Linked DNA regions of Oreochromis niloticus. The protein of the gene in region 1 purifies or fractionates together with the protein of each later gene. This does not show direct contact. Links are inferred from orthologs where the notes say so. Each region holds a gene or a part of one and is shown in the gene's direction. Other genes may lie near its edges.

Region 1 (7,834 bases):
ACAACCCGTAACCATGGCAACAACCCGTAACCATGGCAACTACCATGGCAACAACCATGGCAACAACCCGTAACCATGGCAACAACCCGTAACCATGGCAACCACAACCCAGCAATTCTGCTGTTGATATGTGACATCACAGCAGGAAGGTGATGCGAGTCTGGCATTGACATTTGACATCACAGCAGAGAGGTGATTCTGCTGTTGATATGTGACATCACAGCAGGAAGGTGATGCGAGTTTGGCATTGACATTTGACATCAGAGCAGAGAGGCAATTCTGCTGTTGATATGTGACATCACAGCAGGAAGGTGATGCGAGTCTGGCATTGACATTTGACATCACAGCAGACAGGCGATTCTGCTGTTGATATGTGACATCACAGCAGGAAGGTGATGCGAGTCTGGCATTGACATTTGACATCAGAGCAGAGAGGCGATTCTGGTGTTGATATTTGACATCACAGCAGGTAGGTGAAGCGAGTCTGGCATTGACATTTGACATCAGAGCAGAGAGGCAATTCTGCTGTTGATATTTGACATCACAGCAGGTAGGTGATGCAAGTCTGGCATTGATATTTGACATCACAGCAGGTAGGTGATGCAAGTCTGGCATTGATATTTGACATCACATTGCATGCATTGTGGTTGTTGGCAACCACAATGCCAACAACACACAACCATGGCAACAACCCGTAACCATGGCAACAACCCGTAACCATGGCAACCACAACCCGTAACCATGGCAACAACCCGTAACCATGGCAACTACCATGGCAACAAACCGTAACCATGGCAACAACCCGTAACCATGGCAACCACAACCCAGCAAATCTGCTGTTGATATGTGACATCACAGCAGGAAGGTGATGCGAGTCTGGCATTGACATTTGACATCAGAGCAGAGAGGCAATTCTGCTGTTGATATGTGACATCACAGCAGGAAGGTGATGCGAGTCTGGCATTGACATTTGACATCAGAGCAGAGAGGCAATTCTGCTGTTGATATGTGACATCACAGCAGGAAAGTGATGCGAGTCTGGCATTGACATTTGACATCACAGCAGAGAGGCAATTCTGCTGTTGATATGTGACATCACAGCAGGAAGGTGATGCGAGTCTGGCATTGACATTTGACATCACAGCAGAGAGGCGAGTCTGGCATTGATATTTGACATCACAGCAGGTAGGTGATGCAAGTCTGGCATTGATATTTGACATCACAGCAGGTAGGTGATGCAAGTCTGGCATTGATATTTGACATCACAGCAGAGAGGCGAGTCTGGCATTGACATTTGACATCACAGCAGAGAGGCGAGTCCGGCATTGACATTTGACATCAGAGCAGAGAGGCGATTCTGGTGTTGATATTTGACATCACAGCAGGTAGGTGAAGCGAGTCTGGCATTGACATTTGACATCAGAGCAGAGAGGCAATTCTGCTGTTGATATTTGACATCACAGCAGGTAGGTGATGCAAGTCTGGCATTGATATTTGACATCACAGCAGGTAGGTGATGCAAGTCTGGCATTGATATTTGACATCACATTGCATGCATTGTGGTTGTTGGCAACCACAATGCCAACAACACACAACCATGGCAACAACCCGTAACCATGGCAACAACCCGTAACCATGGCAACTACCATGGCAACAACCCGTAACCATGGCAACAACCATGGTAACAACCCGTAACCATGGCAACCACAATGCCAACAACGCACAACCATAGCAACAACCCGTAACCATGGCAACAACCATGGCAACAACCCGTGACCATGGCAACAACCCGTAACCATGGCAACCACAACCCAGCAATTCTGCTGTTGATATGTGACATCACAGCAGGAAGGTGATGCGAGTCTGGCATTGACATTTGACATCACAGCAGAGAGGCAATTCTGCTGTTGATATGTGACATCACAGCAGGAAGGTGATGCGAGTCTGGCATTGACATTTGACATCACAGCAGAGAGGCGATTCTGCTGTTGATATGTGACATCACAGCAGGAAGGTGATGCGAGTCTGGCATTGACATTTGACATCAGAGCAGAGAGGCAATTCTGCTGTTGATATGTGACATCACAGCAGGAAGGTGATGCGAGTCTGGCATTGACATTTGACATCACAGCAGAGAGGCGAGTCTGGCATTGATATTTGACATCACAGCAGAGAGGCGAGTCTGGCATTGATATTTGACATCACAGCAGGTAGGTGATGCAAGTCTGGCATTGATATTTGACATCACATTGCATGCATTGTGGTTGTTGGCAACCACAATGCCAACAACACACAACCATGGCAACAACCCGTAACCATGGCAACCACAACCCGTAACCATGGCAACAACCCGTAACCATGGCAACAGCCCGTAACCATGGCAACTACCATGGCAACAACCCGTAACCATGGCAACAACCATGGCAACAACCCGTAACCATGGCAACAACCAAGGTAACAACCCTTAACCATGGCAATAACCATGGCAACAACCCGTAACCATGGCAACCACAACCCGTAACCATGGCAACCACAACGCTGACAATGCGTAACCATGGCAACAACCCGTAACCATGGCAACAACAATGGCAACAACCCGTAACCATGGCAACAACCCGTAACCATGGCAACCACAATGCCAACAACCCGTAACCATGGCAACAACCCGTAACTATGGCAACAACCATGGCAACCACAACGCGTAACCATGGCAACAGCCATGGCAACAACCCGTAACCATGGCAGCCAGAATTGCCTCTCTGCTGTGATGTCAAATATCAATGCCAGACTCGCCTCTCTATACTGTGATGTCAAATATCAGTGCCAGACTCGCCTCTCTATAATGTGATGTCAAATGGCAATGCCAGATCCGCCTCCCTGCTGCGATGTCAAATATCAACACCAGAATCGCCTCTCTGCTCTGATGTCAAATATCAATGCCAGACTCGCATCGCCTTCCTGCTGTGATGTCAGATATCAACACCAGAATCGCCTCTCTGCTGTGATGTCAAATATCAATGCCAGACTCGCATCACCTTCCTGCTGTGATGTCAAATATCAGTGCCAGAATCGCCTCTCTGCTCTGATGTCAAATATCAATGCCAGACTCGCCTCACCTCCCTGCTGTGATGTCAAATATCAACACCAGAATCGCCTCTCTGCTGTGATGTCAAATATCAATGCCAGACTCGCATCACCTTCCTGCTGTGATGTCAAATATCAATGCCAGACTCGAATCTCCTATTTGCTGTGATGTCAAATATAAATACCAGACTTGCCCATGTTCGAGCGTACACATGGACAATCAGCATATGACAGCAGCTATCAGCCACTTACAGTGCAGTCATGTTAAAACATGTAACACAGGGTCGCTAGTTTAGTGCGACCACATTAATATTATTAATTATTAATATGTAAATATTAGCAAGTTCAGTCTGTTCAGGAAGCAAGTATATACATACATATATATATACGTACATATATACATATCTATATATATCTATATATATATAGATATATATACTTGTCTGTCATACCGACCTATAAACAAAATATGGTACACATGTACATAAATACATTGTTATTAAAATTTTTATATACACTACCAGTTAAAAGTTTGGACACACCTTCTCATTTATTTTCATGACTATTTACATTGTAGATTCTTATTGAAGGCATCAAAACTATGAATGAACACATATGGAATTATGTAGTAAACAACAAAAGTGTGAAATAACTCAAAACATGTTTTATATTTTAGATTCTTTAAAATAGCCACCCTTTGCTTTGATTACTTTGTCTAATGTCCATTCCTTGTGCTTCTTGGTCCAAACAAATCTGCTTGTTGCGTTTCCTTAGTAGTGGTTTCTTAGCAGCTATTTGACTATAAAGTCCTGATTCACACTCCCCTTTGAACAGTTGATGTAGAGATGTGTCAGCTGCTGGAACTCTGTTGTTGTTGTTCTGCTGTTAACTTGTGTTTTCTGAGGCTGATGACTCTTGGGCTTCCTTTCCTGAAACAGTCCTCATGTGAGCCAGTTTCGTCGTAGCGCTTGATGGTTTTTGCGATCGCACTTGGGGACATACTCAGAGGTTTAGCAATTTTCTGGACTGACTGACCTTCAGTTCTGAAAGTAACGATGGACTGTCATTTCTCATTCAGTAGCTGCTGTTCCTCTCTGGAACCACGTTGGAAGACAACAGCCAGATCGGATGATAGGGCCTTGCTTTCTCCCATTTATCCTGGGCAGCAGATTGATGCAAGCACCATGATGCTGATGATGAAGGCTGCTCATTATTCCCTTTAACATCTGTTGTGGCCAGAATATCCTGCAGTTTCTGTACCTCACTTACTGAAATAAATAACCTAAACATCCCTTTAATACTTTTTGCTTGTTTAGCCTGGATAATGATGGTGTTCAGTATTCTAGTCTGACAGTAAAAGTATATTTATAACACAATAGTCAATCACTCACGCAATAGATTTATCCACTAATCATAATAGCATGATTTAAAACATTTAGATGGAAAATGTTTTAAAAACAGAGACTATTATTTTCAACAAAGACCAGAATACAGGAGGGACATGCACTATAAGCTCAACCCAGTTTGAAGGTCCATTTTTCAAAAGTGAGTAATTAAGAGGCTCTGAATGCACTCAACAGACCAGCTTTTCTGACTTGACTTGACCCTTCTGGACTACACAGCCGGGTGTATGAAGTACCAGAACCTCCAAGCAATTGGCAGTTTCTGGCATGTCGTGGCAGGCCGTGGTACGTTACACTAACGAGTCCATGGTTTGCGGTATTTGTTAGCAATTGCAGCGTTACAGCCACTAGGTGGCACCAGAAACCTGCCGTAGTCGTCTAGAATTGCGACAGCTGTTTTACGGCATGCCGCAAAACAAACAAACAAGAAACGTGGATACTACTTTCTGATCATTACTTAATATTTTTTATTGCTTTTAATATTATAAGAACGTATGGTAATTAGTGGGTAGGTGACCAGTGTCCGGTCATCATGTTCGTGCTGGTGGAAATGGTCGACACGGTGCGGATTCCGCCGTGGAATTTTCACCGGCAACTCAACGAGGCTGTGGCGGAGGAACTGAACAAGAAGCTGGCCAACAAGGTGATGGAGACCGTTCTAGCACACTTAGGATCAATTTTCACCACACAAAACACACTAACAGTTCAGCAGCTAAAATACTGAACATATATTGTCCTTTTAGCAGAAGTTTGTGTGTTAAATTGTGTAGTGCTGTGCTTACAATAGGTGGTCTATAACGTGGGACTCTGCATCTGCTTGTACGACATCACAAAACTCGAGGACTCCTATATATTCCCAGGAGACGGAGCCTCACACACCAAAGGTATGACGATCACCATCAAATAGCTGAGACAGCTTTGGTGTAGTTGAGTTAAAGTTAATACTGCTTGTAATACCTCAGACATTAAAGCAAAACCCTTTTTCTACTGTTAATGCACAAACAAGGCAGATGGTGAGTGGTGACTCCTCCTCCTTATGCTGGGCATACACTGTGCAATTTTTGGCCCATTTTGAGCCGATTTTTTAGTTGTGCGACCGTTTTGGGGATCGGCCCGAGTTTCGCCTTAATCGTGTGTCACGCATCGTGTAGTATACATGGGGTAACGAGAAGCGATTAACACCTCACGACCAGCTCCCGATCATCAATTGTTTGGTCGTAAGAAAATCAAACCTGTTTGAAATCCTGTCGGCCGTCATGAGGGTGTCAACGCAGCCTCCCACACTGCACGCACAAACACAAATGAAAGTGAAAAGACAGAGCAGCACGGCAGTGCAGCGTGTGATCTGGACACAAGCGATGGAGGCACAACATGTAGAACTTTGGCAAGCTCATCTGAGCCTTTTCGATGTGGCCTCACAAAATTGTCACGACCACAACAACCGTGAAAATACAGGGAGTGCAGAATTATTAGGCAAGTTGTATTTTTGAGGAATAATTTTATTATTGAACAACAACCATGTTCTCAATGAACCCAAAAAACTCATTAATATCAAAGCTGAATGTTTTTGGAAGTAGTTTTAGCTATTTTAGGGGGATATCTGTGTGTGCAGGTGACTATTACTGTGCATAATTATTAGGCAACTTAACAAAAAACAAATATATACCCATTTCAATTATTTATTTTTACCAGTGAAACCAATATAACATCTCCACATTCACAAATATACATTTCTGACATTCAAAAACAAAACAAAAACAAATCAGCGACCAATATAGCCACCTTTCTTTGCAAGGACACTCAAAAGCCTGCCATCCATGGATTCTCTCAGTGTTTTGATCTGTTCACCATCAACATTGCGTGCAGCAGCAACCACAGCCTCCCAGACACTGTTCAGAGAGGTGTACTGTTTTCCCCCCTGTTACAACCTCCTCTGCTAGGCATCAGGGGAGGAGTAACATACACACGCCCCCAACACAAAACTGAGTAAAGAAAGGTTTTCATTCCAAACTGTAAACAGAAAACTGACAGGGCTGTTCAACAGACCACTGGGCAAACAATTATTATATAAAGACAAAAAAAGACAAGAGTAAAAGCTAAAGGTTAACTAAGGCAAGCTGGCAACACACAAAATAAAAGCTAAGGGTTAACTAAGGTGAGCCAGCATCACAAAATTCTACTCACAGCCAGCTAGCAGCTCAAAGCTCTACTCTGGCTAAGTTCAAGCATGCACCAAGGTTTGACAAAGTTCAGCAATATGAACAAGTTCAACAAAGATTGAAGAGGGAGGCACGAAGGGCAAACTGCATGTTCAGTCCTAAACAGCAGCCACTGAGTGAAGGACCTCCAGCCTTTTGTAGCCACAGGTGGGTACGATCAGTCACTGATTGCCTCTTGGAGCATCACGGGATCCCCGGGCAGCCAATCATCCGTGTGGTCTGGCACACTTCATTCTGCATAAAAGAGGGTTGGCACGGGTCTCCCAGTAACCAATCACCCACAAGTCATGGCACACATGGATTTGCATGAACACAAAAAGGCAGTCTCACTCCCTCCAAGGCCCAGGGCCATAACACCTCCTTGTAAATCTCACATTTGATGATGGACCACAGGTTCTCAATGGGGTTCAGATCAGGTGAACAAGGAGGCCATGTCATTAGTTTTTCTTCTTTTATACCCTTTCTTGCCAGCCACGCTGTGGAGTACTTGGACGCGTGTGATGGAGCATTGTCCTGCATGAAAATCATGTTTTTCTTGAAGGATGCAGACTTCTTCCTGTACCACTGCTTGAAGAAGGTGTCTTCCAGAAACTGGCAGTAGGACTGGGAGTTGAGCTTGACTCCATCCTCAACTCGAAAAGGCCCCACAAGCTCATCTTTGATGATACCAGCCCAAACCAGTACTCCACCTCCACCTTGCTGGCATCTGAGTCAGACTGGAGCTCTCTGCCCTTTACCAATCCAGCCACGGGCCCATCCATCTGGCCCATCAAGACTCACTCTCATTTCATCAGTCCATAAAACCTTAGAAAAATCAGTCTTGAGATATTTCTTGGCCCAGTCTTGACGTTTCAGCTTGTGTGTCTTGTTCAGTGGTGGTCGTCTTTCAGCCTTTCTTACCTTGGCCATGTCTCTGAGTATTGCACACCTTGTGCTTTTGGGCACTCCAGTGATGTTGCAGCTCTGAAATATGGCCAAACTGGTGGCAAGTGGCATCTTGGCAGCTGCACGCTTGACTTTTGTCAGTTCATGGGCAGTTATTTTGCGCCTTGGTTTTTCCACACGCTTCTTGCGACCCTGTTGACTATTTTGAATGAAACGCTTGATTGTTCGATGATCACGCTTCAG
Region 2 (6,992 bases), on another chromosome or scaffold:
GGTGTGCACTCGCTCCACATCGCTGACATGTCACACAGCGGGCAGCGTGGGTGGGCTGAAAGCACACGGCATCACTACAAATCCCACAATGCTTCACTTTACACTGCTTTAGGTGTCAGATGTGCATTCACCTTGGAGCCGCACCAGTCGCAGAATCTTGCGTCGCCCCAGTTTAAACGTTTACATCTGGTGCAGGACAACATCCTGGTGTGCGCTCCTGGGTCAGAGGGCACACTGCTCCTGGCTCCGCCCACCTGAAGCCATGAGGAGTAAAGAGAGCGTAAAGTGTCTGTGGGTGAGGCTGTACAGGTGTGGTCAGCAGCTGCTTACCTGCTGCAAGCAGCTCTCGCAGGTGAGACAGCTGAAGGCGTCAGCTGGATTCCCACTTCCACAGCAGACACACATCACATGACCCTGCATGCACAGGTAAACACCAGTGTGTGTGTGTGTGTGTGTGTGTGTGAGCATGTGTGTGTGTGTGTGTGTGTGTGTGTGTGAGCGTGTGTGTGTGTGTGTGTGTGTGAGCGTGTGTGTGTGTACCTGCAGAGTGATGCCCGCTCGTGGCTGCAGCTGTTGATCGATGGCAGCTTCACACACCAAACAGGTGTGTGTGTTGGCGGGAACTAGAGCTCCACAGAACACACACAGCAACATCTGACACGCACACACACACAGATTCATCGTCAGGTGTTCAGCGGGACGTGGCAATGCTCAGGTGAGTGCATGCAGTACCTGTCCTTCCTCAGCAGGTGGCAGCCTGTGACTGGGTAGCGGAGAAAGCGCCGCTCCACACTGAGCGCAGAACTGAGCGAACGGGTCAGAGGGGCGGCGATGCAGACAGCGAGCACACCTGAATGCACAGAAACTGTTGGTTCATCAGGTTTACAGTGTGAAGCCGAAAGTATGTGGACGCACCTGCACACCTGGGCAATGTCTTAATGAGTGGAAATCAAACTAAATGTATTTATTTTTAAAAAAGAACATGTTTTTCTCATTTTCCTTCTTCTTGGGACGTTCATCAGCTCTGTTTGATGAGCTGTCCACAAACTTTTGGCTCTGATGGAGGGCTGTACCGTGTGGTCGTACCGCAGGAAGTCGGTGTCTCGCTGCACTCTTGTCGTCTCCGTGCTCTTCAGCTGCCTCAGGTCACCTGACCCCCTAAAAACCGCAGGCTGGGAGCGGTGAGATGAGACGAGCTGGGCGCCGATCTCAGAGCCATGACGACCGTACAGAAAACGAGGGCCTGACTGAAGGGAGGGATTTCCCATCATCCTTGGCTCTGGACACAAGAAACAGGAAGTGTGAAGCTCTGTGATTGGTCAGATGAAGAGAAAGAGCAGGTTTACACCCCATCCCCCCAAGGTTAAGAGCGAGTTCTTCATTTCGACTGTCACCGAGTGCTGCCCACACAGTATCCTCTGATTGGTCAGTTTTCTCTGTAATGTTGTACATCTTTACCTGTCAGTACGGTAAGACTTGAGGTACCTGTTGTAATGTATTGTATTATGAATAAAGTTGAATTTAACTGAACACACCTGAGGTCTCAGCAGGAGAGGATGTTTCTTCTGGCGGAGGCTGGAAGGTAAAAGAAGCATTTCTGTGAATCATCAGGTCTGTGCAGGGGCAGCTGGGAAATGTTAACTGCAGCAGGCAGCTGCACGATTACCTGCAGGAAGTTGTCCAAAGGATCCACAGAGAAAACCTTCGTCACTATGGAGCTCTCTCTGCCGTCACTGCAGACAAACATAAACTTTATTGATCTACACTGTGAAAGCATCTGCTGCCGGTACACACTGATGTCAGGTGACCACTTACCTGGTGACAGCCACCGCTCGAATTGTCACCCGGCCTGCAGGCAGAAGGATGGGCTCGCTGTACTTCCTGCTGCTGCCTGCTGCTCCACGATGCCCCGCCCCCGGCTTTGAACCATCCAGAGTGTAAAAGATCAGAACACCTGCAGAGTCTGCACAGACACACCTGTCACATGACCTGCTGGATGGATGGATGGATGCTGGGTGGATGAGCAGACGGTTGGAGTTCTACCTGACTGGATGGACACAGGTGTGCTCGTCTTGATGTGGTTCTTGGCTCGATGAGTCTGCAGGTGGATGATGGGAATGATGAGTGGAGCTGACACTGCCCCCGCTGCCATGACAACAACCGTCTGCCAACCAATCAGTTAATCAATAAATCAGTTGTTCAGTTCCCTTTCAGACTCAGTAAGACGTCCTCGCCGGCTTTGTCCCAACATACATTCATACTTTTACTCAGTTACTTCTGCTGAGTAACCTCATACCTCATGTTATCTGTAAAATGGATGGAGCTGAATCTGTGTCACAGCACAGAGAACAAACCAAAGAACCGACAGCCTGCTGCAGAGAGCAGAGAACCTCATATCATAACAACAGGTGTGATAATGAACCCTCTGTACACAGAAGCTGGGCGACCAGCACGCGTTGGTCGCTCTAGCATCGGTCCACGAAACGAGGCAGGAGCCTGATGGATACGAACTCCCAGAGTGTCCGACAGGAGGGCGGGGATGTCGATGTGTATCTGGGCCGCATAGGTGATGGCTCATGTTCCTGTAGCTTTATGGTGGTTTGCAAACACCTCCGTCAGAAACCGTCTGCGTGGATGAGCTTTTTCCCGCTGCTTTCAGGCTCTGCAGTTCTCAGCAGGTCAGTGTGGCCACATCAATCAAACCGCTTTGGAGTGAATCCCCCACTGAACGGTCCTGATCCAGAACCTTTACTTGGAAGAACAAAGCCAGTGCTGACCCACTGCCAGACGCTGCAGCCTTTCCTGGAGGCTGGTCGCCATCCTCTGAGCTAAAACCAGCAGACGGTGCGGATGCTTGCCCGACTCTTTCTTTCTATGAAAATGTTGTTTGTTAAAATTATCTATCATTCATAAAAAGAGTGTGAAGTTCTAGCTCATCCACCACATGTAGTGTAGCTTTCTGGATGTTATCCTCATCGGGCTACATACTTATTTATCATACAGACTATACAACACTTAAAATTTAAATTCATATGCTTGAAGTAACTGAGATGTTTCATTATTTGATCTAAAGCCAATTAAACAGACTACGTTTATATTCACATGTATGCTTACTGCATTTGATGTATTTAACCTTATTTAACACATATTACAGAATGAAACACCTGTGTATAGAAACGGCCGTGACTTTGCCACCTCATCTGATTTCCATGCCACCCTACGAACATGTCTTTAGATCCGCCCCTGCTCCCAGTGACTGTCTGTCTTCTCATCTGTCGTCTCCAAACATCACAGTGGGTCTCACGGGCATCCACATCAGGCCTGACACTCGTCTCCACCCCGCGTGCCCCAGTGGGACATCTTAGGTTTCTGGGAGGGTTTCCCTGAAGGTTTACCAAAGCCTCTGATAGGTTCCCGTGTCTTTACCGTCTCTTTGTTAGTTTGACTGAAGCTGCTCTTATTTTCACTGTTTTTTTCTGAGCTTTTGAATGGGGCCGGTTCTGGTTCGATGAGCCGTATGGCCGGGACACGCCGGTAAATAAAACAAACAGAGACAGTGTTCTTACCTGGATGAAGGCGCAGGTGATCAACGGGACTGCTGCCGAGTTTACCGAAGTGTCACCATAGCAACGGGCTGTGTCCGCGGGGACGCTTGTTTTATACGCCTGAACGACAGAGATGGGCGGTGCTGCCATTGGGTTGTAGTACCCGCCCACCTCTGCGTGCTGCGCTGTTAGAAACATACCCTTTAAAGTTTACATTGAATTTAAAAACACAAAAAGAAGGAGTTGAGAAAAATGACCTTAAAATTTAAATTCATATATTTCTATATATGATATATTTTATAAATCACCGGGACAAGCTGCTGTACGTCATCGTCACAGGACCAGAGGCCGCTGACCAGTCAAAGAAATTTATTTTTTAAATGAAATTAACCAAAGAAAGAAAAAAAAAAATACTGTGAAACAGTGAGGCCGGGTATCTATGCTTAAACACAAACAAAAGGTCGAGATCTGACCGCGGTGTGTATTTTAATCAGGCGGATTTCAGGATGCTTCCGGTCGCTTGGGACACCGAAGGACCCCAGCGTGTGCTCGCAGTCAGTCACAACATTAGCTCACAGGCTAACAAAGTAAGAGCCCCGCGCAGGCAAGAAACGCTGGAGATGGCTGAGGTGAAGGTGAAGAAGGAGACGAACCTGTCGGACCCCGCGGAGGTCGAGAACAGGTGAGGGAGGAGCGGGGCCGGCGGGCCGCTCTGTCCGCGTATCGGACTCCGGCCGAATACTGTCACAATTATCGCCTGTACGGTTCTGCTCGCGCACACAGCGCCTGCGTGCAGGTCATGAACGCACGTTCACATCGCGCCGGACTGCTGGTCACTTCGGCGTTAATCAGTGTCATCAGCTGGCTTCGCTTGACCAACATCTGGACATGTTCTGGTCTTTAATGGCGCCTTCGGCCGAAGCTCCTCTGAGCTAAAGTTTATGCCTGCTGGTCTTCATGTGCAGCCTGAGCAGCTGAGACACAGCAGGAGCAGAAAACGATTAAAACTCCGAGTTTAAACAGAGAAACAGGTTTACTGTGAATTTTATCTGGTGTGTGTGTGTGTGTGTGTGTGTGTGTGTGTGTTTCAGGATCAAAGAGCTGTGTCAGCAGTTCCCTCACGGTATCACAGACCAGGTGATTCAGAACGACATGCCTCACCTGGAGCCACAGCAGAGAGCCATGGCCATCAACAAGCTGCTCTCACTGGTCAGTCTGATGATGTCACTCACCTCCAGAGGGTGAGGAGGATGGCGCTTTATTGTACTCTGTGCGCTGAGCAGGCAGCAGGTTGATGAGGTGGTGTTTGTTTCAGGGTCAGCTGGACCTGCTGAGGAACAGTGCAGGTCTCCTGTACAGACTGAAGGACTCTCAGAGCACCAGGTAAACACACACACAGGTGTAGGAGTGTACTTCCTGTCAGGTGATTGCTGGTGTCTCAGCTGCTTCCTGTCTGTTCTGTCTCAGTAAGATGAAGGGCTCAGACAACCAGGAGAAGCTGGTCTATCAGATCATCGAGGACGCAGGAAACAAAGGTAACTGAGTACTTCCTGTCCCCGTTTGGCTCGCTGCCGTGGCTCGCCGTTACGTCTGTCTCTCTCTGCAGGAATCTGGAGCCGAGACATCCGGTTCAAGAGCAACCTGCCTCTGACTGAGATCAACAAGATCCTGAAGAACCTGGAGAGCAAGAAGCTCATCAAAGCCGTGAAGTCTGTGGCTGTGAGTCTTTCACGATCAATAATCGGCTTCATCAGCCTTATCGCTGATCAATAATCAATAACATTAGCAGCTGAAAGAGTCAATGTTTATTTAAATATCTGCAGAAAAATCAGCTTAAAATGTGCAAAGATAAAAGAAACTGTTTAAATTCTGATTAAATATATTTTCCAGATGTTTACGACAAACATCTGTAAAATATGTAAATCAGCAAAAATATAGAAACTATAAAACAGTTTGGAAATAAACAAACACATGTAAGTAAATAAAAATTAAAGATGCGCCGTCTCCGTGTGTTTCGTGTAAACAAACACTGACGGTGATGATGTCATACTTCCTCTCCGCTGGCGTGTTTGTGCAGGCGTCGAAGAAGAAGGTGTACATGCTGTACAACCTGCAGCCCGACCGCTCGGTGACGGGCGGCGCCTGGTACAGCGACCAGGACTTTGAGTCCGAGTTCGTGGAGGTTCTCAACCAGCAGTGCTTCAAGTTCCTGCAGAGCAAGGTACAAAAAACTTTATTTAAACTGTTTCATTGTCCAAACGGTGCCCGGCAGGAGGAGGCAGAGCGGCACTCTGAGGCGCGAGTAGGGCGGGGCGGCCTTCTTTCATGTCTCAGAGCTGTGTGAACCGTCATATGACCCTCGCTGTGTTTCCTGTGTTGAGGCGGAGGCGGCGCGGGACAGCAAGCAGAGTCCGATGGTTCAGAGAAACAGCTCCTTCGCCACGTCGCACGAAGTCTGGAAGTACATCTGTGAGCTGGGCATCAGCAAGGTGACATCACAGCTCAGACGCACCAATCACAGCACAGCGTTCACCTGCAGACAGCTCCACACACACACATTAGAAGCAGCTGGGCTCAGGTGCTCAGACAGGTGAGCGTTACCTGAGGAGGCGGGAGCGTAGACTTTACACCTCATCCTGCGTGTAAACAGTCCCCGGGACTCAGGCTATGGACCCAGGTCCAGGTGTTTAAGGCGGGGTTTAGTTGATCTTTGGCCAATCTGCTTTCCTGGTCAGGTGAATGAAAGCGACCGTGAGACGAGGTGAAAGGGCAGGGTCGACAGCATGGACCTATTTATCTCTGCGTATGAATCTGGTGTGTGTGCTTCCCTCAGGTGGACCTGTCCATGGATGACATCGAGACCATCCTGAACACGCTCATCTACGACGGAAAGGTGGAGATGACCGTGATCGCCGCCAAGGAGGGCACGGTGGGCAGTGTGGACGGGCAGATGAAGCTGTACCGCGGCGTGAACGCCATCATCCAGCCCACCGGCCTCGTCAAGACGCCCTGCGGACTCTGCCCGGTAACGCGCCGTGCCCACCTGCACCCAGGGCCGCTCTCAGGGCACCCGAACTCATCCTGTCTCCTCTTTGCAGGTGTTCGACGACTGCCATGAGGGCGGGGAGATCTCGCCATCCACCTGCATCTACATGAGCGAGTGGTTGGACTTCTGAAGCCACGGCACGCGTTTCTCTCTGAAGGAAGCTTCACTTCCTGTTTGTCGCAGACGTGAAGAACCCGGCGGCCTCAGTTCCTGTGACGATGACGTGCAGCAGTTTGTCCCGGTTCTGGTTCTGGAGGCGTAACGTTTGTTTTCTGGGGCTGCTTTAATGTTTCTGTTTGACATCGTAAATCTTTGGGGTCGTCTTATTGGTCCCATCATGGTCACATGGTCTCAGATGTTTCTGTATAATCCCGCTCCCACCTGCACACCCTCTGTAGTGC
Region 3 (7,248 bases), on another chromosome or scaffold:
GTGTCCACAGTGCTCCTGTTTATCCCAGCTTGCTTGCAGTTTTCATCAGTCTATTGTTACTGCAACAGTCTCCTCCACAGCTACAGTATATTTACTGATCTCTTGCAGTATTTTCAACACCAAAGCAGCATTTTGCATATTTCTCTTATTAGCCCTGGCACAGTGAGCACGTGGCAAATATGTGTTCAAAAATAACTCCCCCCGTTGTGGTCCCTGTGATCCTACAAATTGCCTGGTTTAGAGTCATTGTCTGATTGCCGGGTCTGCAAAGGTGCGCCCCACCCGTCAGTGTGATGGACAGGCTGCGGTAGCTCATTAAAGCCTGTGAACTGTGAAATTTGTGCGATGGCTCGTGCACACGGGCAACCGGGGCAGGGAGCCGCACCGTGCACGTGCAGGTCCACGCGTCTGTTTTCCAGCTGCTGTTCTCTTTTCTTGCCATAGTGTGCCTTTTTTTTCAGAGATAGAAACTGGGGCAACAGAAGATTCTCTCAGGACAAGTCATCAAAGCTCCCCGTGCGTCTACATATGCTCCACTTTTGGATGGCAGAGATGTGAACACAGTTCAAATTCAGGTTGCCATACCATTCACACAATTACATTTCTCTCACTTAGAAAAAAAAGCCGATTATCTCCACCACATTACCAGCTTTAACAGACAGCTGCTCCAAATAAGGCAATTTGGTCTAACTAATAATTATTATGAGTACACATCATAACTCATAATTCATCTAGAAGTGCATAATTAGGCTACAGTTCACATCTCTGGCTGAAGTACATAACACACACACAGATGTTGTGCTGTAATCATGCATATGGAGCAGGGCATAGAAAGCAGCTCTGTGGTTCAAAGCCACATTTCTTCTTCTTCTTCTTTGAGGAGAATACTTTAAAAGACATTTACATAGCTAGGCGAGAGGGGAGGGAAAAGGCGCAATCTTCTCGCTTTAGTTCTTAAACTGGGATGCTGAAAAGGCAGTCACCGGGTATGAAAATGGAAATATTATCTCTTCCTTAAAGTAGTTTGAAGCGATGCACAGTTGGCACTGACATTTAGGAGAATGACGCCCAATCTCTTTACACGAATCAGTCAGGGCTGCCGTGTGAAATGTCCTCGCAGTCACACGCAAAATGTCATTGGTGGGATTTAATAAATACCCAAAGTTGGCAGGGGGGGGAAGAGAATAAGAGAATAACAAGAGAATAACAATCTGCAAATAAAACTCCAGCATCTGCTGCATTCATCTGACTTCATGTCAAATATATTTGGAGAAAACACACACACACTCACTCACACCCAGGATAAGATCATTTGATGTCAACAACTTGTAAATAGACTCGTTTAATAAATTGATTCATTTTCTGGGACTCAGAATAATGTAACGTGAAGAATAATGTAAAAAAAAAAATTCCTTACTTGTATGAGGCTCAAATTTGAGATGGTAGAAGGTCGTCTTATTTCGCTTTCTACTTGCCTGCTATCGTGCAGCCGATGATAGATCCCCCAGGAAAACTGATTAGGAGGTGAAACGAACACACAGCCTCCTCTCTTCCTCTTTCTCCGTCTGTTTCTCTCTCTCTGTGTCACACAAACACTCTAACCCCCCCACCTCCCACTCCCTGCCTCCCTCTCTCCCCCCCTCCCAATCTCATTTTTCGCTCTGAGCGCTGCACGATGATAACTTGACTCCTCTGCACCCATAAAGGATAAATTAAAAGCTGAAATACAGAAAGAAGGGATAAAAAAAAAAGAAGATTTTTCCAGTTGCAGTGTGACCGCAGCGAGACACTCAGTGTACCTCGGCAGCATCGGAGCTTTCGCCAGCCAACCGTGCACAGCACATCACATCACTCGCTTGTAAATCTGCCCCGAAGCACAAAATCCAAATATACTCTAATCTGAACACTGAACTGCCGACATAAATGTCACCTCTCAGATATGGAGAAAGTCTGGGCTCTGGGAGTCTGAAGGTAGAAAGAATAACTGCTTTTTGCGCACTCAACTTGCCACACATTATTCTAAACAAATTACACTGTGAGTGGTGGCCCATAAAATTACACAGAGTCCTGTCAAGACCTCAAAAAACATACATGTGCCAACTGTCATGCCATATGGACCAACTCCACAGGGCATCTCCCTCTAGCCTATCCGGAGGCGGGGGATGCCACTATCTAAGTCCTGAGTAATCAGATTTCCACTTGCATTCATTTTCTGTGTGATGGGTTTTTTTTTTTTTGAGCCTGTTCGACCTCACTGGACAACTTAATTTAGGATTGCATCAGAGATTAAAGAGACCCTCCCCAGATTAACGCGTATAATCTGCTACTAAAACAATAGACATGAGTGTAGGCTAAAGAGAGATAACAAAGGGATGAATTTATAGTGCTAGTGAAATCCTTTCACTGTGTTTTATTTAAAAAAAAATGACAAAGATATAGTGCCTTAATTCCACACACTGTGTGGCGTATTGAAAAGCTTCATTTATTTCCAGACAGCCACTGATAAGTGATACCCCTAGAGTATAATTAAACTGCAATCATCCATCATTAGTCATGCCATGACAGCCTCTGTCCAAATAACCTTCCCTGCTTCAGAAATGGGAATAACCAGTTTTTTAGGAGAGCGGTAGGTGTGCGTGTAGAGAAAGCAGAATTTGGCCCCATGTTATGGTGTTCAGAATGTCTCTTATATTTCAATTATGCTTACAAATTGGCATATTTGAGTTGTGTTTTTAAAACAAATATTGTAAATTTATTCTAGTCTCATTCAAGTATTTGCCGAGAGGTCCTTCCCTTATCAAAGGGACCAGGCACTGTTCGACCGGGGGTACCAAAAATCTGTGGCACCCCTAGGAGGAATATACTATTACTACATTTACATAAGCGGATGCTCCCAGAATAATGTATTACACACATGTTCAGTCCACATACTGGGAGAATCTGTGTCCACCAAATTATGAACAAACTCCATAAAAAGTTTTATTAGCAACTTGGCATTTTCTCTGAATAGATGGATTATTCTCAGCACATAATAATACTAAGTGCAATTCTCTTTTTTCTGTCAACATAGTATTTTATTCTATTGCATATAGTATCTTATTCTTATTATCTTATCCTATTCCAGTGTTTTTCTTAATTTTTGCTACTGTAACTTTGCACTGTCGACTTTCTGCTGTGACACAACAAATTGCCCATGTGTGGGGCTAATAAAGCTTATCTTATCTTGTCTTATCTTATCTTATCTTATCTTATCTTATCTTACCTTATCTTACTTCTTCAGCCCTTCACTTGTCCAGTTTGCTCAATTTTTTTAAGGACACCATGTTAAGATATGCCAGATATGACCTTATACTTCTTTGGGAACCACTTTGCTGACTCCCAGTAATAGTATTTTATGTTTGTCAAACTGTGTTGCGTTTGGCATATTTTGTAGATTCAACAAAAGAAACAGGAACTAGTAACAAAGTACCTAAAGACACAATTTAAAATTTCATGCCAAATGAAACACGATTATTTGCTAACTGGTCTGTTATGTGTATACACAACAGTGGTTCAAGTGTTGTGGCTACAAATAACAGACAAACCGAAATGAAAATGAACCAGAAAGCAGCAGATCTCCAAAGAAAAGCTTTGAATCACCTTCAGAAAGCCCAGGGAACTGTTGCTCAAGACTACTTAAAAATTAGCAGAAAGTCTGACTTCTTGGAAACAAAATATAAAGAAATGAGGGGTGTGTCAAGACTTTTGCATGGACCAAATACCAAATTTTCAATTTGGTATAATTAGTTTGTCCTTTCCTGCTTCGTATTTCTCTCATCCTTCTCTGCATCTTCTATATTATACATTCTATATTATGTATTTACACAATTACAGGTCAGGAGAACCTTTTCACACCCTGCTGCCTAAAATGAAGTTCAATTAACTAGAACAGTATTATATTATGAGATTATTAAGGGATCCTAATAAATTTCAAAGTGTAATATAGTGATTAAGCTGTGTTTGACCTACTCACATCTGCGCATTGAAGCGAACAACGGCCTCTTCCGTTTACTTATGATTATGAGCATCGGTGAGTAGCTACTGCTGTGTTGCATAACAAAGCATATTTATATGTCGGTAAAATAACATTTTTCACATACATACATAAGTCGATCTAAATGTATTAATGTATGCCGGTCTATTGAGTTTCGTGGTGAACATGCGCATGTTTCTGCGCAGGTTTGATCCAAGTGAACTGAGTGGACGGTGACAAATGCGGAAGTGTCATGGCGCCGTGCTGCAGAATCATCAACACTGTCATGCAGTGTCCCACACAGCACTGGTAGAAACTGTAATGACTCTGGGGTTTTGGATTAATATTTCATAAGGACGTCAGAGGGACAATAACGTAAGTAGGCGAGAAAGCACAGCCTGTTAAAAGTTCATCCTGAGAGTTAAAACAAAGTGTCCTGTGTCGTTGTATTTCACTGGAATGTGGCCACGTGTTGCTGAGGTTGTCTTGTAAAATCATTTCTAAAAATAAAAATGTGTCTGCAGGATCTCTGTTTATAGTGATACAATAACTTGTCAGTAATTTATGTCACAGTGTTATAAGCGCTACTTTAGTAAAAACAAAAAAGTAGAAGCTCAGATTTACATTTTTGTCTGTGTTCAGATTAAAAGATAATGTATATTACAACGAAATTAATAAGTAAATACTACATGAATCAATCATGTCAACAGTATGTTCTGCGGTCTTATAGAGCAGGATGTGGTAGTAGAGTAAGAAATACTTAATATGTGTCTATATTCACCCTTTAAAATCTGAAGTCATATTTAAACATATAATACTATATAATATAAACATTTAATACTTTTTAACATTAAGTTTTTAATTAAAAAAATTTAAGAAAATTCTATTTCAGCTTTCATGCTGCATTGGGCCAATGGGGCAAGCTGTACCATTAAATAAAATCAGTAGCTAGTTTAATTCAAATACAGCAAAACTGTGGAGATTCTCACATGTCCTGTCCTTTAATCATAACAGAGAGAATAATTTAGTTAAATATATCTATATGTATCATTTTCAAGACCTATTCTACTTACCATTTCCAGTCTTCGTGGAAGTAGAGTTTAAAATGTGCTAAGAGGCATAAGTACCAATGTAAAAATGTTCATACATAAATAATCAATAGGCAGTAGCAGTAAGTAGCCTTGCAAGGCCAATTTGGCCATGTCTACATACTGTGATTGGTAGTCTGATACAGGACTGTAACCCTTGGCAATCGGCATGCTGACTGTTGAAATGTGTGTTATGTATAAATATGAGAATGTTATAAGAAACAATGTTAGTATTTGTAATATCCATCCCTTGGTCGATCCCCTGCTTTTGCCCCAATTCAGGATGTCGGACGCAGGTTCAGGCGACCCCAGTGGTCGTGTGCCGACTCCTGGAGGGAGCGGTAGCAAAGGACTCCTGATGAGCCGTCGCCCGTCAGCTGGCATCTCTCCTGGCCGCCTCCCCACGATGCGATCCAGAGACCTCACATTAGGAGGAGTGAAGAAGGTCTGATATGTCTCTGTTTCACTAACTCACTCGCTTCATTTAACAACAACAACAACAAAAAAAGCGCAAATGGAAACTTTAAATGAATACATTTGTTATCTCATCTCTTGCATTTATCGTTCTTCTTTTTACTCTTTAGAAAACATTTACACCCAACATTATTGGCCGAAAAGTTAAAGAAGAGTAAGTTCCCAAAGCGCTAAATAAATAAAGTACAGACATCCAAAGCCAGCTGTTTCTTTGACTGTTATTTTCTCACACTAGAACAAAAGTTGAAGATGGGCAGAGGAGAGAGAGGAAGGAAACGGATCGAGGTCGGGGTCCCAGAATGAGAGGCAGGGGCCGAGGCCATCAAGAACTCATCCAGTCGCACTCCATTTTTGAACAGGGACCCGGAGAGATGATGATGAAAAAGAGAGGTGGGAGACCCGGTGCTCCTTACGCATCGTTTACGTGTGTGTCTTACAGAGTCTCTATCGAACGAGCATAATTCTGTGTCACCCACACACACAGGCGGCTATGAAAGCGAGAGAGACGCTCCAAGCATGGGACCCTCGCCCATCATTAATATCAAAAAGGAAAAGCGAGAGACCGAGGAGGAGACCAAAGAGATCCTGCGCAAGCTGGAACGAGACAACGTGAGTCTCTTGGCTTTAACTCATCTTTGTTTGCGTAACTAAGTACGTACAATTTCATTTATATAGCACCTTTAGAATAAGACCTAAGGGACTTGCTGGGGTCATATAGCTGTAAAATGTTCACTGATGTAACCTGGTTCTAGTCCATGATGAGCTCTAAACGTCAGAACGACAATCTTGAAATGGGCTTTGAGTTGAGTGGGGAGCCGGTGCAGCTGGATCAACAACGGTTTAAATGTATTTAGAAGATTTAGTCAGAATCCTTTCTGCAGGTTTTTGAACAACCTGCAGATGTTCCATGGAGTTTTTGCTTAGACAAGTAAAGATTATATCTTTTTCCCAATGCTTATTGTGTTCTTTTAGTTTGTGGATGATCCCTTCCTGCGGAGTGAGAAGAGGAGCTGCCCTGTCCAGCTCCCCCTGGCTGTGTCAGGATGGGGATTCAAGGATGAATTTAGTGACGCTCCTATTAAAAATGAGAAGAAAGAGGAGGATTGTGAACCAATGGAGCCTGCAGCTGAAGGTAAATGTTTGTACCTGCGTTTGACTCAGAACTTGTTTAATTTCCTTTGCAGGATCATGAAATTAATCGTAAGTTTGTCTTCAGTGAAACAAGAGCCAGAGGAAATTGAAATAAAGAAGCCTGAGGCAACTTTCAGGCCGCCTCCTCTCCCCGAGCCCGAAGTACTCCCTGACCTGCTGCACAGATGGAGTCTGAGCAAAGCGGAGGAGCTTTTCTTCATTCAGCTACCAGACTCGCTGCCCGGCCAGCCTCCCACAAAAGAGCACAAGCCGGTGAAAACAGAGGTGCAGTCAGAGGATGGGCAGTCTGTGCTCCTGAAAACAGAATCAGAGGTAAGCATACAGCTGGGGTCCAAGTTTAAGTCCATGATGTTGTCGTGTTCTTCTGAGTAGGTGGTGTTTTTATACCAAACAGGAGGAGAAAGCTGAGGACAACAGCTGCAATCTGAAGGATCTACGGGAGGGTGTTGTGGGAAAGATGCTGGTACGCAAGTCTGGCCGAGTGCAGCTCATACTGGGGCAGGTGACGCTCGATGTGTCTCT
Region 4 (6,994 bases), on another chromosome or scaffold:
TTTTTTCCCCGTTTCCGTGTTTATTGTGGACTCTGGAAGCCGTTGCCCTCTTGGGGACTCAGAACTCGAACCATTTTTACTAAGATCTGTTGTACGCTGAACGACAGCATTTGTTACTGTAAATTAATTTTTATAAGTTAACAAATAAACCTCCTGTATTTGTTTTTGGGTTTTTTTTGTTACATTACTGAATTTGTTATAAATGCAGCTGTGTTGATATTTGATGATCATAATATTAGATAACGTGCAGATCTTTTAACTGTCACAGATAACATTGAATGTTATAACCTTGGCGGAGTTTCCCGTGTTGGCAGGCTTCGTGTTCTGCATGTATGCCATCCTCGGAGGTGAACTGAAAACGAGAAATGTGGAAATCTCGTGTTGAAATAATATAACATTAAATAAATGTTTTATCAATTAAAAATCGTCTTCTTTTCTTATGTATCCAAATTAACATGTTCTATACATATTTTTATGTGTACATTTTTATGGTGAAATTCTTTAGTAATGCATTGAACTTAAAAATAAAATCTGATATTTCTGTTAGAAGGTTAAATCATCCTACTTTTCTTAACTTTTCAAACTAAAAGCCCCCCAAATTAAACCCTTTCCATGCATTGAGAGAGGTTTCCATCAGATTAGAAAATGACTTTAAGTTCTCTATCCTTTGAACAGGTGTTGGATCATATTCCATCCACCTCTGTTCTGCCCCTTTTTCTCTCTCTTGCAACAAATCCCATTTGAGTTCCCCCCTGGAGAAGCAAATCCACTTATAAGCTGCTGCAATCTGTGCTGCAAAAGACTCAAAAAGCAGGTAGAACAGAGACTTTTTATTGTCTATGTTTCGATAGCAAAGCTGTAGATTAGTCAATAGTACAAAGCACAATTACAAACATAGGAGGTAGTCGACACTGAGTCTTCACTGAGCATTGTAATATGCATAGAGAACACTATGGCCATAATGACTTTGTTTCAAATGTCTCAGAGGAAAACCCAAAGCGCCCTGTTCTGTTTGTAGTGCAGAGTTATGCTATTGTTGTGCTATTGTAACTTCACATATGCTTAAAGTATAAAAATCAAACACTGAATTATATTAACACCAACATATACATATTCATCAGCATATAAGACCAGTAAATATTTTTTATAATAGGCTTCATATGGTGCTGATTATTGACTTCTGTAACCCAGTAGGGGCATTTCACACAAAGTTTGGCAATTACTTGATTTTCAGCTGGATTACATAAGTAAATGGACAGCGTTACATTAAGTTGCAGATAAAACAGAGGTAACCCCGCCCCCACCCTTTCTGTCCTCACACTCTTCCATGTCCTCCATACTAAAACATCTCTCTTTGTGCACTTGCTTCCTGCAGCTCAATGACCCACTCTCATTAGCAGGCACACTGTGGGTTGCACACCCGCAGCGCCACCCCAGCCAGACTCCTCCAGGCAAACGTGGAGAACTTTGCAGGGCATGTTTCAGCTCTGCTGATGTACGTGGAGGCAAGCCGATGGAGCCGCTTCGCACCGAATGCATTGTAGTGCCCCGGGAGGACTTGGTCGACCTGTTAAATCCATTTTAAAGCCAATAAACATGTATTTTATTTAACAAATAATGTTTAGCACATGTTAAAGTATATTGTTTTAAGTATTAGCACAGAAAACACAGCTTGTATATGTAGGCTAATAGATACTGGTATGCCAAATTTCAGCAGAGCAACATGATATTTTCATTATAAATCTATGAAATGTTGATATAAGGTGCTTTGGGATAAATACCCCTGGAAAAAAAAAGTGGAACTGTGTACTGAAATTGTGAGGCTGCTCTCTAGTGGGCTTTAGAGTTACCTGTTCGCTGTCCACCAGCCCAACCAGGCGCTCACAGCTGCTGATGTAGTCACTGACGCGGCTGTAGGGCAGCCAGTCAATCATTGCGCCGTCATACACAACATCGCCACTGAAAAGCAACTTATTGTCCCGGTCATGAAGGCAAATGCTTCCCCGAGAGTGTCCGGGCATGTGAAGCACAGTCAGCTGTCTGTCACCAAGATTGATGACATCACCTAGGCAGGAGAAAGAGAGAGAGAGTGAAGGCATTAGGTTTTGATAATTATTCACACATACAAACGTGGCATGAACCGTAATCACCGGCCACTATGTATTTAAAATCTTAGACTTATATATAAGTGATAACTCATATTCTGGCTGACTCACGTCAGAGTTATGTTTGTGCTTTCCACATGTCACTGAGTCACACAGATTCTGTGACATTCAGTATATCATCGATTTGGTCGACGCCAGTTATGAGTTGCACTGGCAAAAAGGGTGAAGTTGATACATCAGGGAATGAGATATACCAGCTGCACTGCAGTAGTGGCTCTGACACAGCAGAACGAGTTACTCTACAACACTGCATTTTGCATTAAACCCCAACAGATACGGCGGCTCAGCAAATACATTATTTATGATATAAGCTTTGTGTATTATTATGTGTGCTATTCTGATGAATGTGTGCTTTATATAAAGACTCCAGTGACCAGTGCTTTCAAACAACGTATCCACTTTCAGATTTATCAAGTAGATTGATTCAGCTCGCCACCTGCTGATCTTTGACCCACTATAAAAAATTGTTTGAGAAAAGAGAAGACTGTGTGGTTGTTACTTCGCGCTGTGGGATGCTTTCATTAAGTGTGACACCAGTCTCTGTATGCTCTTTCTTGGAAGCAAGAGAATACATCAAAGCCATCACACTGGCTTAAAATAGAACAGCTCTGCAGATATAGAGAATGAGCATATAGTTGCTACCAATGGAGTTTTTGTTGTTGTTTTTTTAACCCATACACTTCTAATAGGGGGAAATTGTCTGTACCTGCATTCCTTGGATAGAATATCCTGTTTTGTGTAATGGGATAATTGCACCTGTGTAATCACCAGTCCTGGCCTCATGTTGCTGCATTGAACTGGTTCCTCTAGCCTACTTTGTAACTGTAAAAATTACTGGCAGACCGACCCCTTGTCTCATCCCCACTACCTCCATTACATATATAATATGTGTCGATGTGTGAGCTAGCAAGTCATTGTTGGTCTTCTGCCAAATCGCGGTGCAGAATCTGAGGCTGGAAACGACTCTGTAGAGCATACTGTGCTCACACTAGGCCTGGTGCATCCATCAAGCCCATTACTGTATCGATTATGGTGCTTGTCACTAAGTGAATGCTTTTAGACCTTGCTGGTATTTGAGCACAGATCCATCCCTCTAGCCTAAATCAAATCTGCAAGGGCTGTATTTCCTACCTACCCTCCTGCAGTATGTGTGTGGGCTGCACAGCCTTGACTTTGTAGTGCCTTGCCCTCCATCCCGGGCTGGGAGCCTCGGCTATCTCCCTGTCGCTGAGCCAAGTGACCGTCTCGAAGTTGTCTCCGTTGGCCAGGGCATCGACCTCCGCGCTGTGGACGCCCACCTGTTGGAACTGATGCAGACCACCGGAGTGGTCGAAGTGGGCGTGGGTGGCGATGGCAAGCAGCGGGTTTTTCCTCTGCGGGTCTTTTCCCAGCAGGCCTTTGGCGTCGATGTATTCAGGTAAGCTCCTTAAGCCCAGACCCGTGTCTATCACCACGTCCTGGTGTGTGCCGCGCAGCAACCAGATGTTGGCTCGGTTCTCCGACTGGTAGAATCGCTCCTGGATCCAGAAGATTCCGTCTCCGAGCGATTTGTGAGCGTACCAGTCGACTGCAGACATCCCAGTTCATTCGCTTGTCGAAGTAGGGTTCAGTATGGTGTCTTGCTGTCAGGTGATTTATTGGGGGGGAGAGGTGTAACTAGCCTTCTAGCTACAGATGATATGTTTTCATTGAGGTTAATGCGATGGTGGCCGCAGACACACCCTTGTAGGAGGACACTAAGCTCACTGGGCAAACCGATAAACGACGGCAGCTTAACGTGGGTTGCAATTGGCTATACGCAAACCACGCCTCCTCTGTCGTCACGCAGAGGAGGAGCGAGTTAAAGCCACATTTACGCATGCTGACAGTGGCGTATGGCGTGTGCAGGTTTCCAAAGCCGGTGCTAGCTAAGCAGTATAAAGTCTAAGCAGTATCTTCATTAGGTTCAGCTGAAATGTATGTGATTTTTAAGGAGTTGTCGAGGGACAGATAAAACCGGCCAGAGAGGTACATTAAAAAACTGAAACATGTGGATCCAGTAAGAGCTAAATATCGCTGTCCAGCTCTGAAGTAGACTTTGTGCTTTTTTACATTAGGCGCAGTATACTAACAGGCTTCTAGTAAGTATTTCGACATACTTTACACGTAGAGTGCGTCTCTGATGCTGACTAAAGCTTCATCGCTGGCAGAGTCACGCTAAAGGCGATGGAAGCTGTAGAACGTTAACTTTCATCAACACGTGTTGACTGGAGATATGTGGACGTGTGTGTGTGTGTGTGTGTGTGTGTGTGTGTGCAGGAACAGAGGAGACCTGCAGCCATGGCAGGCAAGGGTCGTGGAGTTGGTGCTTTTACCTTCAATATTGACGCTCTGGGCATCGGCAGGGGCAACATGCCAGAAGCCAGGGTGGGGCCCAGTCCTCTGTTTCCAGTAAGTACCGAACACAGTCGTTTACACACACACACACACACACACACACACACACACACACACACACACACACACACACACACACACACACACACACACACACACACACACCAGCAGGATGACAGATTGCATTTCAGTATAACAAATTCACCTCTAATGGTCAAACTTTACTGGAGCGACTTTGGGAGAGACCTTTTTGAGAGAGGTAGGTGAAATTTGCATGGAATTTGAATAGCAGACTATATACAGTGGAGGTTTACTTATAATAGGTTAAGGTTTATTCTTTGTAATAAAATTTACGAAACATTTTACTGCATTTGTATTTAAATGAAGGGAGATGAAAGTATATTTATCGTGCTCATGGCCAACATGTGTTTAAGAGTTATGACCCAATGAGTGTCTCTCACAGGGTTCACAAATAAGCACAAAGGGGGTAAAGGGCAATAATGTATGCGCTTATGTTAAATTCATGGCCAGGTTTTCTAATTTGGTCGTGTGTATTCCCAAAGAATATGGCAGATATTTACGTGCCTCTTGGATTCTGCCAGGATGCTTTATGGGGATTTTTTTTTTCTTTTAAACACAGTTTGGACTATGCTTACAATGTAGTATATTTTGACTATTCATACTTAAAATGTTGAACACCTTTACATGGCAGTCTGAATTTCAGTTAGATTTGAAATTTATTTGCACTTGAACATTATTAATATCGGCATTACATCATCCATACTTCTCCAGAGCACGGATTTTAAACCAGTTCCACTGAAAGCTGGCGAGGATGAGGACTATATGCTGGCCTTAAAACAAGAGATGAGGGGAACAATGCAACGGCTGCCATACAACATCAAACCTCAGTCCAATAAAGCAGGTGAGGAAGGCGGTGCATTAGAAACCTGACATCAGCTGAAATGACGCTGTAAGACAGTTGTCTGCTGTGGGGGAAGATAATGCAGCTTTTAGGAACAAAGACTTTCAGTTAAGGTCATATCTGGGAAACGGAGAGAGGCAGATTAATGACAGAATATTGAGTTACAGATGTCTCATCTTGCGAAACCACAGATTTCTTTTGTCTGGATTACTGGCCTTTCAAAACTCTCCTGTTCCACAGTTAGCTAAATGTAACCATGTAAAGAAGTCAGTGTATTTTATAGGGGGAAGGGGGGATTGCTTATTCAGCAGGGGGTCTGTGGTGAACATGACTATAGGGAAATTACCTATGAAAAGGAAGTGCACCCAGTTCTTCTGTGCAGAAGCAAATATACACACATCATGACCGATAAACAGAGAAGCAGCTGCTGCTTCATATCTACAGCCTCTTCAGCAAGACTCTCATCCCATGGTTGAGCACCACCTCCGCTGTCTTAGATAGCTGTTAGACATTGTACTCCATCCAAAACCTGCAGTAAAAAGAGAGCTGGTTCATGGGCTGTAGAGCAGAACAAATACTAAATGTCTTTTAGCTTGATGAGGCCAAGGCCTATTAACTTCTCATCAGTGATCATCATTGATTACAACTAGTCTGTCTTTGACAGGAAAAAAAGAAGGATTTGTTTGACAGGGCTCATTGGATTGACGCACAATGGGAGAGTTGAAGGAACTCTGTGAAGATCCAAGAAGGAGAATTGATAATTTACATAATTTGGGAAAGTCTATTTGAGCTATTTTAAACAATATCACATTCCAAGTTTTCAATTTTCTGGAAGAAGATCCGAACTGTTACCCTCGGATGAGAGAAAATTGGTTAGGATGTTCACGAACAACCGAAGAACAACCGGGTCTCAAGTCTACCGTGAAATCGAAACTACTCAAAGACCAGCCGCTGAAGCGAGTTTTAATTCTTTTGCCGACCACAAAAGAATACCCTGCTCCAAAATCAACAGCTTCAATTTCAACTGAAATTTGCAGCTAGATGGTTGAAACTTTGGACACAATTGGGTGTTCAAACAGGACAGTGTTCCCAAATACACATCAAAATTGGTTTTGGATTGGATAAAGCAGACTAACATTAAAATTCTGGCTTTTGCAAAACCACAGCCTCAATCTTATTGAAAATTTGTGGACTATGCTTAAAAGTCCGGTCCGTCTGGGTGGGCGGCATTTAGTGTTATCAGTCCTTTCATCCTTCAAGACCTGCCAAAATTAATCCAAGCTTCTGTAACAAATTCTTGTATTTTTTTGTTTTTTTTAAAGGCATTAAAGATGCATGCTGTACAGTCCTTCCACTCTATAAAAATATCATTTCAAAGAAATCATTAAAGCCCCAAATGACCATGACATTCATGCTACTGACTGTATGTAAACTTCTAGAGTAACACTGCAGTTTGTGTTGACGCATACTAGTCTAAATGTTTTTAAGAGTATGACCTTTCTTTTGTTTACTTGAAAACAGAAGTGGAGAG

Evidence for each region.
Region 2: the proteins of polr3h (region 1) and polr3f purify together in Homo sapiens (affinity purification with mass spectrometry; 4 studies listed by BioGRID and IntAct, with this or other methods). This does not show direct contact. The link is inferred for Oreochromis niloticus from reciprocal best matches to the Homo sapiens genes POLR3H and POLR3F.
Region 3: the proteins of polr3h (region 1) and polr3d purify together in Homo sapiens (affinity purification with mass spectrometry; 6 studies listed by BioGRID and IntAct, counting the BioPlex papers as one, with this or other methods). This does not show direct contact. The link is inferred for Oreochromis niloticus from reciprocal best matches to the Homo sapiens genes POLR3H and POLR3D.
Region 4: the proteins of polr3h (region 1) and polr3g purify together in Homo sapiens (affinity purification with mass spectrometry; 5 studies listed by BioGRID and IntAct, with this or other methods). This does not show direct contact. The link is inferred for Oreochromis niloticus from reciprocal best matches to the Homo sapiens genes POLR3H and POLR3G.

What each region holds. Positions count from the first base shown.
Region 1 is NC_031969.2:9,483,066-9,490,899, forward strand, and holds the start of polr3h (DNA-directed RNA polymerase III subunit RPC8), read left to right. Parts: upstream 1-4,831; 5' UTR 4,832-5,019; coding exon 5,020-5,130; intron 5,131-5,274; coding exon 5,275-5,371; intron 5,372-7,834.
Region 2 is NC_031971.2:41,853,411-41,860,402, forward strand, and holds the start of polr3f (DNA-directed RNA polymerase III subunit RPC6), read left to right. Parts: upstream 1-3,979; 5' UTR 3,980-4,051; coding exon 4,052-4,227; intron 4,228-4,636; coding exon 4,637-4,754; intron 4,755-4,860; coding exon 4,861-4,928; intron 4,929-5,012; coding exon 5,013-5,080; intron 5,081-5,151; coding exon 5,152-5,264; intron 5,265-5,622; coding exon 5,623-5,766; intron 5,767-5,926; coding exon 5,927-6,034; intron 6,035-6,378; coding exon 6,379-6,570; intron 6,571-6,643; coding exon 6,644-6,721; 3' UTR 6,722-6,992. Other genes in the region: dzank1 (double zinc ribbon and ankyrin repeat-containing protein 1), read right to left, coding at 1-55, 132-254, 331-654, 733-850, 1,087-1,279, 1,536-1,575, 1,667-1,733, 1,816-1,963 and 2 more. UniProt on the Homo sapiens protein: DNA-dependent RNA polymerase catalyzes the transcription of DNA into RNA using the four ribonucleoside triphosphates as substrates.
Region 3 is NC_031977.2:13,079,027-13,086,274, forward strand, and holds the start of polr3d (DNA-directed RNA polymerase III subunit RPC4), read left to right. Parts: upstream 1-4,234; 5' UTR 4,235-4,387; intron 4,388-5,382; 5' UTR 5,383-5,383; coding exon 5,384-5,545; intron 5,546-5,684; coding exon 5,685-5,728; intron 5,729-5,809; coding exon 5,810-5,964; intron 5,965-6,058; coding exon 6,059-6,183; intron 6,184-6,546; coding exon 6,547-6,706; intron 6,707-6,790; coding exon 6,791-7,038; intron 7,039-7,120; coding exon 7,121-7,248. UniProt on the Homo sapiens protein: DNA-dependent RNA polymerase catalyzes the transcription of DNA into RNA using the four ribonucleoside triphosphates as substrates.
Region 4 is NC_031977.2:14,419,727-14,426,720, forward strand, and holds the start of polr3g (DNA-directed RNA polymerase III subunit RPC7), read left to right. Parts: upstream 1-3,984; 5' UTR 3,985-4,285; intron 4,286-4,463; 5' UTR 4,464-4,484; coding exon 4,485-4,595; intron 4,596-5,333; coding exon 5,334-5,463; intron 5,464-6,984; coding exon 6,985-6,994. Other genes in the region: acyl-coenzyme A thioesterase MBLAC2, read right to left, coding at 1,394-1,567, 1,851-2,065, 3,301-3,742. UniProt on the Homo sapiens protein: DNA-dependent RNA polymerase catalyzes the transcription of DNA into RNA using the four ribonucleoside triphosphates as substrates.